Linked DNA regions of Oryctolagus cuniculus. The protein of the gene in region 1 purifies or fractionates together with the protein of each later gene. This does not show direct contact. Links are inferred from orthologs where the notes say so. Each region holds a gene or a part of one and is shown in the gene's direction. Other genes may lie near its edges.

Region 1 (5,205 bases):
TAATTCACACTCCTGTGAAGTACCCAGAGTCTCCTATATAAACATTTTAAGCGCACAAGTAAACATATGTTGATTCTTAAACAAACTAGTTTCTGCTTGCTTTTTTTTTTTTTTTTTTTAAGCATTTATTTGAAAGGCAGAGTGACAAGGAGGAGAAAGAGAAATAGAGATCTTCTAGCTGCTGGTTCACTCCCTAAATGGCTGCAGTGGCCGAGGCTGAACCAGACAGAAGCCAGGAGCGAAGAACTCCATCCGGGTCTCCCGCGTTGCTGGCAGGAGCCCAGGTAATGGGGCCCTCCTCTGCTGCTTTCCCAGACACATTAGCAGGGAGCTGGACACAAAGTACAGCAGCCTGGACTCTAACAAGCGCTCAGATAGAGCATGCTGGCGTGGTAGGCTGCGGCCTAACCTGCTGTCCCACAACACTGGTCTCCTCTCCTCGCTTCATGCTTCTGGAACACTTTGCATGAAAAGCGTATGTACTATTTACCTCTCCTACTGAATGCAGGCGCTGTTAGGTCATTTAATCATCTACCCTTTGCCTGTGTGATGTGGCCTTAGCCAGATGGAAGGAAACAGGGGAGCTATGTGGAAGCCAAACAGATGTCATTTTGTTGTCTTTAAGGTTGTGTGGTCCTGCCATCATGGCAACTAAGAATGCAGAATTCTAACCATGCCAGAGGCACTATGAACCAGGTCAGGCTGTACTGACCACGACAAAACCACAAACAAGGGGGCGCCGGCTCAAGTCCAGGCTGCTTCCCTTCTACCCAGCTCCCTGCTAACGCACTGGGGAAGTGCAGAGGAGGGCCCAGGGGCTTGGGACCCTGCCACCCATGAGGGAGACCCCGACGGAGTCCCTGGGTGGTTACCTGGGTGGTGAGCCAGCAGATCACTCATTCTTCCAAATAAATAAGTATACCTTAAAAAAAAAAACAACAACAACTAAAAACAGACAAAAACCAGAAACTACAGGGGCCAGCGCTGTGGCACAGTGGGTTAAAGCCCCAGCCTGCAAGGCCGCCATCTCTTAGGTGCCGGTTCCAGTCCCGGCTGCTCCACTTCTGATCCAGCTCTCTGCTATGGCCTGGGAAAGCAGTGGAAGATGGCTCATGGCCTTGGGCCCCTGCACCCGCATGGGAGACCCTGAGGAAACTCCTGGCTCCTGGCTTCAGATCAGCCCAGCTCTGGCCATTACGGTCATTTGGGGAGTGAACCAGCGGATGGAAGACGTCGCTCTCGCTCGCTCTCTCTCTGGCTCTACCTCTCTCTAACCCTGTCTTTCAAATAAATAAATCTTAAAAAGAAAAAAAAACCCAAGATTTTAAAAAAAAGGAAACTACAGAAAGCATCCACTTAAGTTAATCCAATTTCCTTTTTTTTTCTTTTTTTGATTTATGTATTTGAAAGTCATGCGTAAGAGAAAGGGAGAGACACAGAATTCTCCCATCCGCTGGTTCACTCCCCCAGATGGCCGCCATGGCCAGTACTGGGCCAGGCCGCAGCCAGGGGCCAGGAGCTTCTTCCGGGTCTCCCACAGGGGTGCAGGGGCCCAGGCACTGGGGCCACCCTCTGCTGCTTTTCCCAGCCGCATCAGCAGGGAGCTGGATCGGAAGCGGAGCAGCAGGGGCGCCGCAGGCCACAGCTTAACCTGCTACGCCACAGCGCCAGCCGCTGTTGCTAACGTCTCTAGACGGAGCGACTTCAGACCTTCTCGGCATAACACGTACTCCTCGGTCTCCCGGTTCGGGCCACCGCCACCGTCGGCCACACCACTCGGGTCCGAGAGCCGGGTTCCCCCTCAGGGTCCCGGCGGCTTCCTCACGCGCGGCCTCGCCCCGCCCCCGGTCATCCCAGGCCACTCGCGCCCCGAGGCCGCCGTAGAGGGGGCGGGCTGAGCGCGCGGGCGGCGATTGGTTCAGGGCCAGGGTGGGCGGGGCGCAGCGCGGCGGCCTATAAAGCAGCCGGGGGCGCGTCGGGCTCGGTTTGCGTCGGCGCGTCCTGCAGCGTCTCCCGCCGCCCTCGCTGCCCGCACCGGAGCGCGCCGCTCGGGAGTCATGGCGACGAAGGCTGTGTGCGTGCTGAAGGGCGACGGCCCGGTCGAGGGCACCATCCACTTCGAGCAGAAGGCAAGGGCTGGCAGGAAGCGCCGGGGACAGGGCCGCCGGCCGGGCCGGGGCTGGGGTCGCCACACCGCCGCCGCCGCGCCGGGCCGGGGTCCGCGCCACCGGGCTCCTCCGCCTCCTGGCCGCGCGGCGCCCCGCACCGCCGCCCGCGCGCACCCGCCCGCCAACTGCTGAGTCACCGGGCGGGCCCCGGCGGCGGCGGCGGCGGCGGCGGGGCCGGGCCGGGCCTGGGCGGGGGTGCGGGACTGGAACGCCCGGGCCTGGCGCGCGGGCTCCGACCGCCGCGGGGTCTGTGAGGGCGAGGTGGAGACCCGCGCGGGGCCCTGCGTTTGCCGCCCGGGGGTCCGTGGGCTCCCCCCCCCCGCCGCCACCCCGAGATCCAGGCGTGGCGCGTGCGGCCGGGCCCGCGTGGGTGTCGCCGCGTCCGTTACCCGCTTGGGGCTGCTTCTCTGGCTCCCGCGCTCTAGGTCCGGGGTCTGCGGTTGCGGCCCGCGGCGTCCCCTCAGTCCCAGGGTCATTGTCCCAGCTCTACAGGTTTAACTGGTCGAACACGCCGCAGCGGCCCAGCGTGACTTTATTTTCGGCAGCGTGTTGGCGCCTGAGAGCCAGGTCGTGGTCAGGCGGCGAAGGCAAAGAGGATGGCCTTGGAAAACGATTTTTTTTTTTTTTTTTTTTTTTTTTGCCTTCAAAACTGCAAAAGCCGGACATCTGACTTGGGAATTTTCCAGAGCGCAGATTCTCACAAACAAACAAAAAACCCAGATACCAGGGCTCGGCCCCAGACCAATTTTGTCTTAATTTGCTCTGGTGCGCTCTGAGTGTTACTATTTTGAATTTCCAGGGTGATTTTACCGTGCACCTAAGATGGAGAATTAACACTCCGGAGGCCGGGGGATTTGGAAGTTGCAGAAACCTGGAGCTTATACCTTAGTCAGACTGGCTCTTACCTGTTTTTGGAGCACTCCTTTGGCCAAATTCTCTGCAGAGTGGCTTTGACATTGAGGTTGCTCAGTGGGTCCAAGAACAAATCGTGGGAAATAAAGACTCTACAGCAATTTTTGCAGAGATACTCGTTATCAGAAACTCCACAAGGAAGGTGCTTGTGATAAGATTGTCCCCGCAAGCTCAAGTTGTGGGAAACTCCTGCACTGAGCCTAGGCATTGAGAGAGAGAGAGTAAGGGATGAGTGTGGGTTCAAGTGCCTGTGTTTTCATGAACTGGCTTCACACCGAGGAAGGGGGTCTGGCCCGAGTGCGTCTGGCTGCGTTTCACTTGCCTGGCTTTGTTTGGGTCTGCAGGGAAGTCACAGGTGTGGAGAGCCTCCGATCCCTCGCAGCAGGAAGGGGCCCTGGGGGTGGGCCTGGGAGCTTGTCAGTCTTGCACCTTCCCCCAGTGTCTGGCACGGTTCCTGGTTTCAGCTCCAGACTTCACTTGGGTGCTGCCCTTTGCACTTGATAAAGCCCCCTGGAGAGTTTGGTCTTCCAGCACTACAGATAGGCAGAAGTAATCAGTTGGCTATAAACTGTATTTGGTTTGGCCTATTCAGTGTTGAAGGTTAGTTGCCAACATTTAAAAATCGCGGTGGGTTGGTCGGTCAGTCCTGGTTCCTAGCTCCTGAAACGGTTGGGTGTGTGCTCCTCCGTGCCTGTCTTCGCCGAGGACTGCACTGCTGGACCGTTTGTGTTCCTGTCTGCCTCCCAGCCCCTCTCTCTTCCTCGCTTAGGGCGGCAGCCTGCGCCCTGTAGGATTGTAACCCCGCGGCTCTGGATCGACTTCGTGTGCCGCCTGCCTTGCGTGTGCAGAGCGGTCTGGAAGAATCTGCCCTTGTCTGCCTGCTACTGTTCAAAGTGCGGCCACAGCCAGAGGTGGTCCTGGGGAGAAGTGCAGCTGCTGTTCCCCCAAGGGAAAACAAAGGGGAGCAGTCTTCCGGACAGACACTTTGAGCCAGGGTCTCTTCTGAGCTCAAGGCCTCGTGCCTCGTCTTACTGTCGACTTGGAAAGCAAACCAAGCTAAAAACAAGGAGAGCCGTGTGTGTGTGTGTGTGTGTGTGTGTGTGTGAGTGAGTGATGGTGTGGAGCTGGTGCTGTGCGTGTGTATAGTCCCCGAGATCTTTGGGCAACGAGTGGTAACAGCAGCTTCCCTGGTTTTCTGTGTCTGGCCACGCAGCACCGTGGCCTGCATGGAGATCTTGCTGCAGGTTTCCCACCTGCCTTAGCGTGTCGTCACTCTCTCCTGTGTTGGAGTTTTTAAATCTAGGCTCCATTGCCTAAAAATACTTAAAACAGTCTCTCTGGTTAGACTAGACCTGGTCTCTCTGGGGACTGTGGGATAGGGTATTTTCTGGCTGCCAATCACAAATGACTGTGATGGAAATTGACAATACCCACCAAGTGAGAGTGGAGAACGGGTCCCAGGGCAGCCAGCTGGACCTTTGCTGGGTCCTTTTTTCTTTCTCAAAGGCATGTTTGTATGCAGTGTTTGCTGTGTGGAAAGAGCGTGTCCATGAAGAAAGCCAGGAGTTGAGCGTATGGTGACATAGACTCTTTGGACTGAAAAGTCTGATGGGTACACGTAGACTCATCACACGCACACACAGCCTACCCAGAGGTATCTTGTAAATGAGCGCGTGCCCATCGGGAGGGGCCCTGCAGAGCACTCGGTCCCAGTGTAAGTCTGACCTTGGGGTGCGTTCTGCTGGGAGCTTCGTATCTGCTGTATCATGCCGACCTGGCCACAGGACTCCGGGGCAGTCAGTGTTAGTGAGAACGCACTGCGTGCTGCAGGTAAGCAACCTGCTGGAGGCCCACAGGCTACAAAGTGGTGGGCCACAGAGAGGACACAGACTTCTCCCTTGCTGTGACTGGGAACGTGGATCGGCCGTGTGCTCTGTGGAGAAGCAGCTGCTTTCTCTGACTTGCCACACTTTGTTTTTGAATAAAGGGAACAGGGCCCGTGGTGGTCAAGGGACGCATAACAGGACTGACCGAAGGCCTGCACGGATTCCATGTCCACCAGTTTGGAGATAATACACAAGGTGAGTGTGCTGCTCTGGTGACCCAGCCAGCTAAGGTACAAGGA
Region 2 (4,597 bases), on another chromosome or scaffold:
TTGTTGTGTTATAAATGCTACTATAATTGTTATTATAAATGTTATGCCAGCATACATGTAAATAAACTCTATGGACACTACAAGTAAAATTTAAAAAACAATTTAGAAGACCTAAATAACTCCCAAATAACTTACAGCTAAGATATATTTATCAAGGGGACCAGTTATATTATTTGCTTTAAACAGAATTTGGAAATATGTATTTGTCCTCTTTTAAAAAGTTACACTAAGCAGGGAATTTTAGAGAGGCGGGCTCTTGGCTACAAGACTGATGGTCTTGGTGGGAGGTGCCCAAGAAGACTGCCTTGTAGAGCAGCTGGGCTGGGGGCGATCCATAGAGGGACCTCGTTTAATTCCATTACACGGAGTAAGTGGCATCCAGAGAAGCTCTGTGCTTTGTCTATAGTTGCAGTTAGGAAGGGTCCCAATCAAGACTCTACATTCTGTACTCTGGTTACAATTCCAAACTTTCCCCACTATTATAGTTCAGGCTGAAATGTTAAGAGCACATGCTTTTGTTTTACTTTCATTATGGAAATTTTCAAGTGCAGATGGAAATGTTTCATGAATTTCCATGTTCTCATCACTCAGCTCTAGTAGTTCGCACATGGCCAATCTCAGGCTGTCCTGCAGATATCCTCTGCCCCCCATGTTGTCAGTCAACCCCAAACATTTTATTTCATTGATAATTTTTTTTTAAATAACCACAATACATTACTGGAACTGAAAAATTAACAGCAATTTAGATAACCAGTTAGTATTCAGTTTTTGCTTTATTAAACATTTTATTATAATTGAGATGCAAATAAGCCCCACACCTTGTGGTCTGTTAATATGTCTACTGTCTTTTTATTGTTAGATTCCCACTTCCTACCTCAGTCTCCCTTTTGCCTTGTAATTTGTTGTTGTTGAAGAAAATGAGTCAGTTTTCCATGGTCTGGGTTCTGTGTCTCCATAGTGTCAATTAACATGTCCCCTGTATTTACTGTAAACTGAAAGATGGGGTATTGATTAGATACAGATTTGATCTGGAGGGCTGTGGGACAAGATTACTTTTTAGAAGTTGAGCAGGTATAGTTGATACTTTGAGAAGCCTGCTAAACAATATCTTTAATAGACTTATCTTTAATTACAATTAATATTGAACTTTTAATTTTTCCAGTGAAGGGAATGAGGCAATCTTTAAAAACCATCAAGTTAGGCCGGCGCCGCGGCTCACTAGGCTAATCCTCTGCCTGTGGTGCCGGCACCCTAGTCCAGGTTGGGGTGCCAGATTCTGTCCCAGTTGCTCCTTTTTTAGTCCAGCTCTTTGCTGTGGCCTGGGAGTGTAGTGGAGGATGGCCCAGGTCCTTGGTCCCTGCACCCACATGGGAGACCAGGAGGAAGCACCTGGCTCCTGGCTTCAGATTGGTGCAGTGCACTGGCCACAACACGCCGGCTGTAGTGGCCACTTGAGGGGTGAACCAACGGAAAAAGGAAGACCTTTCTCTCTGTCTTGAACTGTTTATAAGAGAATTATTAAAGCTGGCAACACTTACAGTGACTTTGAAAGACTACAGCTATGCTTTGTAATAATGTATGGATTTTGATTCTAAAATTGATGAGCTGTTGATTCAGCTGTTTCACTTTGGGGGCCAGCATTTCATTTCTGCTTTGTTGTATGGTCACATGAAACTGAAACATTATAGCAGATGTTCTTGAAGCAGGAGACACTAGTGCAGACAGAGATTTCTATCAGTAAATCTGGGATTAACCCAAAGTGTACAGAGAATTTATTGATGACATATAGTAAACACATGATTTGACAGAAGTCCTTCAGTGGTTATCATCCTTTGGGTATGTGTGGTTTAGTAGAAAATTTCTCTCTTTTCTGTATATTTCCTATTCCTGAAGCTATGGTGATATGTTATTTTTAAATGTGTCATTCAATATCACATACACTCTGATGGTGAAAACCATAACTATCAAATATAAACAGGCTTGTTAAGAACCAACCACTTTGTTCATTTTAACCTGAATAAATGTGGCTGTTATAGGGAAGCTATTCTTTTTCTCATGTCTATACACCGAATGACGTACGTATGGTGATTGAATATGCCCGAATGCGAGGGATTCGAGTCATACCAGAATTTGATACTCCTGGACATACACAGTCTTGGGGCAAAGGTAAGGAGTTTGAGGTCTTACATCTCTCATATTATGACTTGGTTTTTGCTCATTTTGTTCTTGTGGTTTATCTAATTCTAGCACTGTTGACACATATGATTAACATTATGTCTGTAAGCAAGTCACTGTTTCTAGGTATCACCTAAGTATAAAAACCAGAGAGAGGCTGGTGCTGCGGCTCACTAGGCTAATCCTCTGCCTGTGGTGTCAGCACCGCGGGTTCTAGCCCCGGTCGGGGCGCCGGATTCTGTCCCGGTTGCTCCTCTTCCAGGCCAGCTCTCTGCTGTGGCCAGGGAGGGCAGTGGGGGATGGCCCAAGTCCTTGGGCCTTACACCCACATGGGAGACCAGGAGAAGCACCTGGCTCCTGGCTTCAGATTGGCGCAGTGTACCGACCATGACATTCATTTTGGGGGTGAACCAACGGTAGAAAGACCTTTCTCTCTCACTGTCTAACTCTGCCTGTCCAAAACAACAACAACAACAACTATAAGGAGAAAGGAATATATAAAAAAATGATTATAAAAAGTAGAACACAGTAAGTGAATTCAAGAAATAGTTTCAAGAGAGGCTGGCGTTGTGGCATAGTGGGTCAAGCCACTGCCTGTGATGCTGGCATCCCATATGGGCACCAGTTCGTGTCCCGGATGCTCTATTTCTGATCTAGCTCCCTGCTAATGGCCTGGGAAAAGCAGCGGAAGGTGGTCCAAGTGTTTGGGCCGGCCCCTGCCACCCATGTGGGAAATGTGGATGAAGCTCCTGTCTTAGCCCTGGTTCAGACCTGGCCATTGCAGCCATCTGGGGAGTGAATCCATGGTTGGAAGATCACCCCCTCTCTCTGTGACTCTCTTTCAAATAAATTGTTAAACACGAAAAAGAAAAAACGTATGAATGAGGAAACACTTAAAAAGCTTCTGAGGCCGGCGCCGCGGCTCACTAGGCTAATCCTCCGCCTAGCGGCGCCGGCACACCGGGTTCTAGTCCCGGTCGGGGCGCCGGATTCTGTCCCGGTTGCCCCTCTTCCAGGCCAGCCCTCTGCTGTGGCCAGGGAGTGCAGTGGAGGATGGCCCAGGTGCTTGGGCCCTGCACCCCATGGGAGACCAGGAAAAGCACCTGGCTCCTGGCTCCTGCCATCGGATCAGCGCGGTGCGCCGGCCGCAGCGCGCCGGCCGCGCTGGCCATTGGAGGGTGAACCAACGGCAAAGGAAGACCTTTCTCTCTGTCTCTCTCTCTCTCACTGTCCACTCTGCCTGTCCAAAAAAAAAAGCTTCTGAGACTTCAAAGAATATATTCATGTTTCTGGTAGAGGGAACGGCATGGGGAAAGGCAATGCAAAAAGGGTAAGACATGTCTGACAGTATTTAGTTTTTCTAGGATCTGGCAAAGAGTAACAGACATGACAGGGTGGTGATTGGAATGTTGGCTCCGGAGCCAGACTACTTGGGGTTGAATCCTGCTTCTGCCATTCATAAATTGAGTGACTTTGGATAAGTTATGAAATATCTCTTCTTCAGGTTCCACATCCCTAAAATGAGACTTTTATTTTTTTTTAAATTTTTTGACAAGCAGAGTTAGACAGTGAGAGAGACAGAGAGAGTGGTCTTCCTTCCATTGGTTCACCCCCCAAATGGCTGCTATGGCTGGCATCCGAAGCCAGGAGCCAGGTGCTTCTCCTGGTCTCCCATGCGGGTGCAGGGCCCAAGCACTTGGGCCATCCTCCACTGCACTCCTGGGCCACAGCAAAGAGCTGAACTGGAAGAGGAGCAATCAGGACAGAATCCGGCGCCCCAACCGGGACTAGAACCCAGGGTGCTGGCGCCGCAGGCAGAGGATTAGCCTAGTGAGCCGTGACACTGGCCTAAAATGGGACTTTTAAATAACATATACCTTTATTTTATATTGTTACAACTCAGTAGGAAAATTTCATAAATGATTTCACATTTAAAAATCTAATTGTACATATTTGTGGGGTATAGTGTGATAATTTGATATATACTCAATGTGTAATGAACCGATGAGGTTAGTTAGCATTTCCATCTCCTGAAACCTTAAAAAATTTTACTAATAGGGCTGGTGTTTGACCTAAGTGGTTAAGATACTGATTAAGATGCCTGCACCCAATATTGGAGTGCCCCAGCTCTAGGGACAAGCACTTGGCATAGTGGTGAGGTCTCTGCTTGCCATTCCTGTATGCTGTATCAGAGTGCCTGTTTCAAGTCCAGGCTCCTCCACTTTGGAAGCAGCTTCCTGCCAGTTCAAACAATGAGAGAGAGAAGGTGATGGCTCAAGTACTTGGGACTGAGCTCCCCAGGTAGGAGACCCAGATTGAGTTCCAGCCTTTTGGTTTCTCCTTGGCCCAGACCTGGCTATTTTGGGCATTTGGGGGGTGAGCCAAGAGATGGAAGACCTCTTTCTCTTTATTCTCCCTCTCT
Region 3 (4,281 bases), on another chromosome or scaffold:
AGGATTTGAACCAGCACCCATATGGGACACTGGCACTGTAGTATCTGTTATGCCACAGCACCAGCTCCCTTCTGTCTCGTTTGTCTTTTAAGATTCATTCATTTGTTCAGTTAAAAGGCAGAGAGAGGGAGGGAGGAAGGGAGGGAGGGAGAGAGAGACAGAGATCTTCCACCCACTGGTTCACCCCCCCCCCCAAATGGCCACAATGGCTGTCTGGACCAGGTAGAAGCCAGGAGCCTGGAGCTCCATCCATGTCTCCCACATGAGTGTAGGGACCCAGGGACTTGGGCCATCCTCCATGGCTTTCCCAGGCGCATTAGCAGGAAGCTGGATCAGAAGCAGAGCAGCCAGGACTCGAACCCAGCATCCCAGTAGCCACAGTTTAACCTGCTCGCGCTGCAACACCAGCTGAGCCTGCCCCCCACCCCGCCCCCAGGTGAGCGTCGCTGTGGGCTGTGCCACGCGCAACAGGACGGTACCCTTCTGTAGCTCTTTCGCCGCCTTCTTCACACGGGCCTTTGACCAGATCCGCATGGCGGCCATCTCCGAGAGCAACATCAACGTGTGCGGCTCCCACTGCGGAGTGTCCATCGGTGAGTCCAGCCAGGATGCCCGTACCTGGAGCCTCCTGAACCTCTTGGAGCAGGTCAAGGAGTGGGGGCGGGGATGCCCGGTCATGGATGGGGATCTTACTCAGCGTTTTCTTTCCCACACCACAGGGGAAGATGGGCCCTCTCAGATGGCCCTAGAAGACTTGGCCATGTTCCGCTCCATCCCCATGTCAACTGTCTTTTACCCGAGTGACGCAGTCGCTACAGAGAAGGCAGTGGAATTAGCAGCCAATACAAAGGTGGGTACCACAGCTAGCTCTTTCCTGGAGGGGCACAGAGCTGTTTCCTGGCCTTGCCCCGGGTGTCTGTGTAGTTTGTGGAAGTTGGACAAGGAGAAATGAAACACACAGCGCCCTTGCTGCATCATGGCAGACATTACCAGTCGATGACTGCACTCTTTTCCCCCTGAGAGTCCTGGCCACCTCTCCCTGTCTGGTGGTTCACACCTGTTTGCCCCGACTTGAACTGGTGTCCGTGAGCCAAGCCCTGCAGTCCATGTCCAGAGCCCTGCTCATGGGTGGTTCCCGTTCCCCTGCCTGGAGCAGGGGGGCCTGCCCGGGGGATGCACTGTGGAGGAGCCTCACCGGGTGGGCCATCTCCCTGGTGGAAAGTTGTTTGGGGTCTGTGGCCGGCAGCATCCGTGGGCAGCTCTTGGGAGGAGTGAGGTGCAGGCTGCAGTAGCCAGGCTGCAGGGACTGACGGAGGCCCTGGGCAATGACAGGCTGGATGGATTTGCAGCAGGAGAGGCCGAGCTCTCCGGAAGAGATGGTGCCCCGGGAGCAGGGTGCTGTGTTCTCCCATGTTCTCAGCTTCTCTGTTCCCGTCCCAGGGCATCTGCTTCATCCGGACCAGCCGCCCGGAAAACGCCATCATCTACAACAACAGTGAGGATTTCCAGGTTGGACAAGGCAAGGTCAGTGCCGCTCCTGCCCCAGCGAGCCCACCTTCCAGAGCCAAACCCTCCCTGCCCCACCCTGCACAGCCTGCAGTTTCTGATCCTCGCCGGTCCCCCGCTGTCTCCCCTAGGTGGTCCTGAAGAGCAAGGATGACCAGGTGACCGTGGTCGGGGCTGGGGTGACCCTGCACGAGGCCTTGGCTGCCGCCGAGCTGCTAAAGAAAGGTGAGGAGAAGGGAGCTGCCCAGCCGTGGGCTGAGGGCTGCCTGCGCGCTGGGTCCTGGGGCGAGAGGATCTGTGCAGTTTAACAGTGGCAACACTCACACCAGCCACCTCCAGAGCGCTTAGCCTGTGCCTAGCCTGAAGCTGGGTCCTTGGGCTGCAGGGGCCATGATCCCTGCCCTAAGACCCCCAGGTTGAGATGGCCCGGCATGGTGGTCAGGTCAGAGGCAGCTGGGATCACAGCTGGTTATTCCCTAATACCGTGCCTCAGTTTACCCACCTGTAAACAGTCAACCCTCTGTATCCTTGGGCGAATGGTCTCCAGATCCCCGTACAGATGCCCAAATCCAGCTCTGCTCGAGTCCCTTCTGTAAAATGGCTCTGCATTTCTGGACAGTCCCCAGCCGCAGAGCTGGCCAAGACTGCCTGGGCAAGGGAGCACCAGCCCCTCGGGTCAGGGAAGGCTCCTGGAGGAGGCAGGTGGGTGCCAAGGGCTGGAGGACAGCGGCCGGCCCATCTGGCGTTAGCACAAGCTCCACGGTGGGCAGAGCTGGCTCTCCCCAGGACAGGGATGGGCTGGAGCTCTCAGAACACCCCCACCAGGCCCCACCAAGGGCAGACCCAGGCACCCAGTGCTCCCCTGAGCCCCACCCCTGCCCCTCCTCCCCTACAGAGAGGATCAGCATCCGCGTGGTGGACCCCTTCACCATCAAGCCCCTGGACAGGAAGCTCATCCTGGACAGTGCCCGTGCCACCAAGGGCAGAATCCTCACCGTGGAGGACCACTATTATGAAGGTAGGTGGCCCGGGGTGGGGGGTGGGGGGGCGGGGATAGGGGTAGGGGCCAGGAAGGCCAAGGGCTGGGCACACTCAGACCTCCTGTGTCTGCTGAGCCCCTGCTGCCCAGGAAGCCCACAAGGATTCCAACCTCGGTGGGTAGAAAGAAGGCAGATTATGTCCTGAAGTAGTGGAAGGGTGTGGCTGTGGTGCAGAGTGCAACAGGGAAAGTAGTGCTGAGTCTCTGGCTTTCACCACGCAGCCTCTGCACCTGTACCTCCTGCAAGGAGGCCCCGGGGAGATGAGGCATAGACTCAGGTCAGGTGCACGTTTGTTGATGATGGCTGCCCAGGGGGTGGTGTTTTTAAATATCATCAGTGCTGTGATTGATGAGTGATGTCTGCCCTGGCTACAGTAGAGAAAAGTGGTGCATTTTCAACCTGTGCCCCTGTGGCCAAGGAAGTAAACGCAAGACTGACGGGCTGGGGCCCAGCCTCTGCTCGCCCTGAGACCTCGTTCATCTGACCAGTCTCCTTTCCTCTGCCCAGGTGGCATAGGGGAGGCGGTGTCCACTGCAGTAGTAGGCGAGCCTGGTGTCACTGTCGCCCGCCTGGCTGTGGGCCAGGTGCCAAGAAGCGGGAAGCCGGCCGAGCTGCTGAGGATGTTCGGCATCGACAAGGACGCCATCGCGCAAGCTGTGAGGGGCCTGGTGGCCAAGGCCTAGGGGAGGCCCGGTGCAGGGCGGGGTCCCGCACAGGCCTGAGGGCTCGGCAACGTGTGAACCGAGTGGGAATATATGTTTTGAGAAAAATGAATCGGCCCTGAGGTGTTTTGTGGGACGTGCACGCTGCGGTGCTGGCAGGGCCAGGACCTGGTGTCCACCGCCCTTTGGAGTCCTCGGCCCTGGCCCAGCGTCTTCCCCAACGGCCAGAGTCCCTCCAGGTAACACGGCCCTGCCCGTGCCTTCTAGTGAGGCTCACACATCCCTGCCCGCGTCCGGTCAGCCAGGCCCCGAGGGAGGCTGGGAGTTGCCTCACGGCCTGGCACTCGTCCAGGCCTCCTCAGGGCATCCTGCCCTCCCCCGGGTCCCCACAGGTCTCCTGGCATCAGGAGGTGCCTTTGTTCACTGTCCCCCAACCTCCGTTTCCCACGCCCTGTGAACCCGTCCATCACCTTGGCGGCCCTCCTCCTGCCTTTTGTGCCAGAGCTGCAGGGGCCAGCTCCACCAGTAGAGGTCCTCGCTCCCTGGCGTGCACCACTGTCCCCTGCCCCAGAAGCTGCTGGTATCACACTTGGAGAGCAGAGCCATGCTGGCCCATGCACCAGCTCAGCTGCTTCCCAGGCAGGATCCCTTGCTCGGGTGACCATAGCCTGTTTGTCCCCTGCTGCTTGTAAGGCTATCTGCATAGAACCCTGTACTGGCCAAAGAAGTGGGTGCCGCCAGCAACTGGTAGGGTTCTCCAGAAACCCTTGGAGTCCTTGGGGAGGGTGAGACACATCTGTAGACCTGTGCACGTTTCCTCCCGGCCATCTGGACAGAATGAGCCCAACAGACCCAGCAAAGTGCAGCCCACTTAGCTTCTGCACCCAGTGGGCTTTGCCAGGCGCTGTGTGCCTGCATTTGACCCAACACGAATTCCAGAGGGAGCAGGCGGGTCTCAGGTGGCCTAGGCTGCTGGGGTCTGTTGTCCACCCTTAGCAAGGCGTCTCTGCCTGCCAGCCCTGGCTGAGGCCCACGTGAACCCTGGCAGCCTTGGGAGGGTTGGGCTGCTGGGG
Region 4 (4,597 bases), on another chromosome or scaffold:
GCCTGCCTGCTCTTGGTGCTCCTCACTCCATGCCAGCCCTCCAACTCCAGGCCGTACGTGCCGTCAACGTGTTAATTCTCCAGTTGGATCAGATTTCCCCGAGGGGCACACGTTGTCAGGCTTTTGCTCATAGGCAAGACTTCAACCATAGAAGTGAAGGCCTCCAGGACGGGGCCCAGTCCGGGTTGGATGGAGCGATGCCTCCGGCCTCCCGCCCCTAAGCTGCCTTCCTGCAGCCAGCATTCAGGCCAGTGCAGATTCCGCCTGGTCCAGGAACCCTCGAGTGAATGAGCAAATGCTGTGTAGTGGTTTATGGGAAATAAAAACTGTGTTTCCCCGCAGAAATTCACCATGTCTGTGCTCAAGGTCCATGCCAGAGAGATCTTTGACTCTCGCGGGAATCCCACCGTCGAGGTTGATCTCTACACCTCCAAAGGTACGTGCCGCCTCAGTTTCCACACTCCATTTTGAAGATTTGCTCACAAATCATGGGTGGGGTGCCAGCATGGCAGTTGCCTAATTCCAGTCCAGCTTCCTGCTAGTGCACCTGGGAAAGCAGTGGAAGATGGCCCCAAAGTGCATGGGTTACTGCCACCCACGAGGAGACCTGGTTGGAGTTCCGGGCTCCTGGCTTCGACCCAGACCAGACCTAGCTGTTGCAGTCATTTGGGGAATGAACCAGCAGGTAGAAGATCTCTCTCCATCTCTTTGCCTTTCAAATAACTAAATGAACCTTTAAAAATAAGACAAAAACTTGTTTAAAAGTGACGGAGGATGGACACTGTGGAGCAGCAGGTTAAGCTTCCTCTTGCCATGGCCGCTCCCGGCTGGATTACCCGATGGAGCTCAGGCTGCTCCGCTGGTGAGCCGGGTCCCGCTGATGTGCCTGGGAAAGGCAGCACCCGGCTCAAGTGCCTCCGCCACTCCCTGCCGCCCACCAGGAGATCTGTGTGGGGTTTCTGGCCTGCCCCAGCCTGGTGCTGCAAGCATTTGGGCAGTACATGAGTACATGGAGGATTCTCTCTCCCTCCCTCTCTGTTACGCTGTATTAGGCATGAAAAATTCTTGCTGTAGACACTTTTCTTTCTGCTCTGCACATGCTGACAGGCTGTGATTTCTGGCTGGCGGTGATGTGGAGGAGAGATTGTAGGACAGAGCCTTTGTCTCACAAATTCTTGGCATTTAAAACAAAACCTGTGCCCTGTGGGGGAGGGGCTGAGATAAGGCGTGCCCACGCCTGAATTGGCAGATGTGGTGTGGCTGGATCCTTCCTGGGTGAGGCAGGAGATGAGGGAGCGCGAGCCAGTGGCCGTGTAGCGCTCTTGAATTCAGGGCTATGACCTGGGGTTCTGGGGAAGTCCGGGGCTCTGATGTTTCCTGGCCATAAGGCTCTGCAGTGTGCCCTGTGAAAAACCACAGAATGAGGGCTTTCCCCTCCTTTTTTTAAGAAGAAAATCTGCCTTTTCAGCCGTGGTTACTTCCAGCAGTTAGTTCCCCGGCTGTTTCATGAACAGGCTGGGGCGAGGCTGGGAAAGCGGCTTCTGGCAGTCACTGAGCCGAGCCGCGCTCGCCGGGCTGAGTCACCGTGAGTCAGCCTGCAGCAGAGCGGGAGGAGGACGTTCTTCCCCTCTGTGCATTGCCGCCACATCCCTGCCCAGCTCCTTTCAGATGGAAAATTCCCTAGAGCTGCTGGTGGGTTCCCGAGGCTGCCTGCCCTCTCCCCAAACTGGAGGTCTTGACGCCCCGCCTCGCGCTTTGTCCAGCGGTGGCCGTGTCGGGGCTGCAGCACGGGTCTGGTTTCTGGATGCAGGATCGTGTCCTAGTGATGTGAACACTGCACCCGTTGTCTTTATTCCTGTTCCCCCTCAGCCAGTTTGCCTGGGGGCGGAGACCCCAGACTAGTGGTCATCGCTGTCTAAACCGAGGCAAATGACCAGCGGCTCCTCTCGAGCTGACGAAGTTCCCGCTTTGCCTTTCTAGTTGAGCGCAGCTCCGAGGGCACCGCCAGCCCCCTCCCTGACTTGGGTTCTGCTTCTGCCGGCACTGCTGCCGGGCCAGCTGCAGGCTCCCCAGCCCCGCCGTGAGACTGTCTGTCAGCGAGGTCCCCGGGGGCCCGTGTGCACCTGAGACTTGAGCTAGGGAAGTTCCGCAGTTGGTGGGAGGATCTGCATTGCAGAATCGCGGAAACGTGACCATTACCACACTGTTTCCTGGCGCAGAGACATCTGTGTGTGGGAGGGGATCTGGGCTGCCATTTTCACTGTGTCTTCTTTTGTAAGATTTTTGAAAGGTGGAGAGACAGAGATCTCATATCTCACGTCTGCATGGCCACAAGGGCTGGGGCTGGACCAGTGTGAAACCGGGAGCCTGGAACTCTGTCGGGGTTTGCCATGTGGGTGGCAGGGGCTGAGGACTGGGACACTGTCTGCTGTTTCCCAGATGCATTAGCAGGGAGTGGACTGGAACCGGCACTTAGGGGGTACCGGTGCCACATAGCGCCACAGCGTCAGCCCCCATCGCCGCATTGTTAATTGTTCCTGTTTTCCCCTCATCTAGGTCTTTTCCGAGCTGCTGTGCCCAGTGGTGCTTCAACTGGAATCTACGAAGCCTTGGAGCTGCGGGACAATGACAAGACTCGCTACATGGGGAAGGGTAAGGCCTGGACCCACAACCCAGCCTCTGCTTCCAGCCCCGCTCCTGGCCTTCCGCATGACCCGCATACTCCTGGGGGCGGCCTCGCGCAGGGTAGTGGTAGACCCACCGTCACTCACGGCGCCCCAGCACGTGGAAAGCAGGCCCGGCGGGCACAGATCCCGAGGCTCCAAAGCCTGTAAGCCCAGGGCCGGGAGTTCCAGTGGTCACTGCTGTTGCGGCCTTCTCCAGCCTGTGATTGGGCCCAGGGTGAGAAGTGGTCCCGTTAACTAAGGCCAGCTCGTGCCCAGGGGTCTTCCCCTTTGCCCAGCAGGGCCTCTGGGTCCGGCCCACCATCCCCCTCCACAGGGCCTAGGGAGGGGCAGCTCGTGGCCTGCTGCCGGGAGTAGGTAGGTTTGTGCTGGGGGTCGACAGAGGGGCTGCCAAGTGGCAGGCCCCCTCGGGTGCTGACTGTCTGTGTTGACGTAGCTTCCGCGGTTCTGGAGATGGCGCCGTGTGGCCCATTCACAGGAAGCACGTGAGGCCGTCTCACGTGTGTTCCACAGCGGGTGGTGTTAGCCCCCTGGGAGGGGTTCCTGGGCCTCCAGAGAGCCCCCAGTGCGTCAGTGCAGCACGCCTGTGGTGGTCAGTTTCAGGCAAGTAGGGAGAAAGTCTAAAATGGCTGCCGGGCAGGGCCAACACAGCCGCCGGGGAGAGGCCGGGCGGCGCCTGCTTGTGCACGGCGGGCCCGCGGGGACCTTGCTCTCGCTGGAGCAGGGCGGTGCCGTGCCTCGAGGGCGGGAGCCAGCATGCACCCAGGCCGGCGCTGCGGCCCCTCCAGCACCCTCCCACCCTCCTGTTTCCTCGCCTTTTCTCACTCTGTGTGCCTCACAGCCTGTTCTCTTCTGAGTCTCTCTTTTTCCTTCTCTGTCCATCTGGACTGGGCAGGCGTCTCCAGACCCGTTAAGTATATTAATGAGTTCCTGGCACCAGCCCTGTGCACTCAGGTAACAACCGGAAGTCCTGGAGTCTGTGCAGCTGGTATCCCAGTGCATGGTCTTGCAGACTAACCTCCAGCTGGGGAATTGAGCGGGGCTCTGTGTGTGGCTCTAACCCCTGGGGGTCCTCGGTAAGAGCGCTCAGCCTCCAGGGGCGGGGGTGGGGTTTTGAAGCAGTGGTCCCGTGGCAGGGCTCTGGTGGGCTTCTGGGACAGCAGCCTCAGTAGATCTCCAGCAATGCTGCTCAAGCCTCCTTTTCTGAATTAATGTCAGTAATTGATTTGATTGTTCCTTCCAGGTGTCTCAAAGGCTGTTGAGCACATCAATAAAACTATTGCGCCTGCCCTGGTTAGCAAGGTAGGACCTCTCCTGATAACTAATGTCTATCGATGCCACCAGAGCGTCCCTCAGGCCCAGGGCCTTCCCTCTTCACAGAAGAGCTTACTCTGAGAGCTGCAGAAGCCGGTTGGGGTCCCTGTCTGCATGGCGTCACGCTAACCTGCCCACAGCCTGTGTGTCCCCTGCCAGCGCGTGGAGCTGGCATGGAGCAGTGGGGGCAGGAGTGTCCACGGTGGCTAACTCTGCATGACCTTTGGAAGTCTCTGCTGGATTCCTACTGTTTTTTCAGTCAACAAAATCTTGAAACCTCAGCAGTCAGACTGTTGAGTAGAGCTGCCCTAGTAGGACAAGGCCAGGGCCCTGCGACCCGACCGCCTGAGCCGAGCAGTTGGTGTCTTCGCCCTCCCTGTGGTGCTGCCTGATGGAGCAGTCGCAGAGTCACCTGTGCCGCAGCGGGAACTGAGCGCTGCTGTCTTCATTGTCCATGTCCCAGCTTGCTCATCAGGGCTGGCTGTTGTGCTTCTCAGTAATTGGTCCCTGCCCAGCCGGTCCCCAGGCAGCATTCCTTGTTACTGCTCTGCCTGCACACGCCGTGGTGCTAGTCTTCTGGGCACCTCCATGCACACCTT

Evidence for each region. Proteins that work in one complex are often made in the same cells at the same time.
Region 2: the proteins of SOD1 (region 1) and HEXB purify together in Homo sapiens (affinity purification with mass spectrometry; 3 studies listed by BioGRID and IntAct, with this or other methods). This does not show direct contact. The link is inferred for Oryctolagus cuniculus from reciprocal best matches to the Homo sapiens genes SOD1 and HEXB.
Region 3: the proteins of SOD1 (region 1) and TKT purify together in Homo sapiens (affinity purification with mass spectrometry; 3 studies listed by BioGRID, with this or other methods). This does not show direct contact. The link is inferred for Oryctolagus cuniculus from reciprocal best matches to the Homo sapiens genes SOD1 and TKT.
Region 4: the proteins of SOD1 (region 1) and ENO1 fractionate together in Homo sapiens (co-fractionation; 3 studies listed by BioGRID, with this or other methods). This does not show direct contact. The link is inferred for Oryctolagus cuniculus from reciprocal best matches to the Homo sapiens genes SOD1 and ENO1.

The regions. Positions count from the first base shown.
Region 1 is NC_091435.1:13,159,467-13,164,671, reverse strand, and holds the start of SOD1 (superoxide dismutase [Cu-Zn]), read left to right. Parts: upstream 1-1,917; 5' UTR 1,918-2,057; coding exon 2,058-2,129; intron 2,130-5,067; coding exon 5,068-5,161; intron 5,162-5,205. UniProt on the Homo sapiens protein: Destroys radicals which are normally produced within the cells and which are toxic to biological systems.
Region 2 is NC_091445.1:36,201,338-36,205,934, reverse strand, and holds part of HEXB (beta-hexosaminidase subunit beta), read left to right. Parts: intron 1-2,036; coding exon 2,037-2,166; intron 2,167-4,597. UniProt on the Homo sapiens protein: Hydrolyzes the non-reducing end N-acetyl-D-hexosamine and/or sulfated N-acetyl-D-hexosamine of glycoconjugates, such as the oligosaccharide moieties from proteins and neutral glycolipids, or from certain mucopolysaccharides.
Region 3 is NC_091441.1:96,586,622-96,590,902, forward strand, and holds the end of TKT (transketolase), read left to right. Parts: intron 1-436; coding exon 437-593; intron 594-719; coding exon 720-850; intron 851-1,440; coding exon 1,441-1,524; intron 1,525-1,637; coding exon 1,638-1,731; intron 1,732-2,401; coding exon 2,402-2,524; intron 2,525-3,053; coding exon 3,054-3,229; 3' UTR 3,230-3,320; downstream 3,321-4,281. UniProt on the Homo sapiens protein: Catalyzes the transfer of a two-carbon ketol group from a ketose donor to an aldose acceptor, via a covalent intermediate with the cofactor thiamine pyrophosphate.
Region 4 is NC_091438.1:158,991,419-158,996,015, forward strand, and holds part of ENO1 (alpha-enolase), read left to right. Parts: intron 1-342; 5' UTR 343-351; coding exon 352-436; intron 437-2,556; coding exon 2,557-2,652; intron 2,653-3,579; coding exon 3,580-3,638; intron 3,639-3,927; coding exon of another isoform or gene 3,928-3,986; intron 3,987-4,597. UniProt on the Homo sapiens protein: Glycolytic enzyme the catalyzes the conversion of 2-phosphoglycerate to phosphoenolpyruvate. In addition to glycolysis, involved in various processes such as growth control, hypoxia tolerance and allergic responses.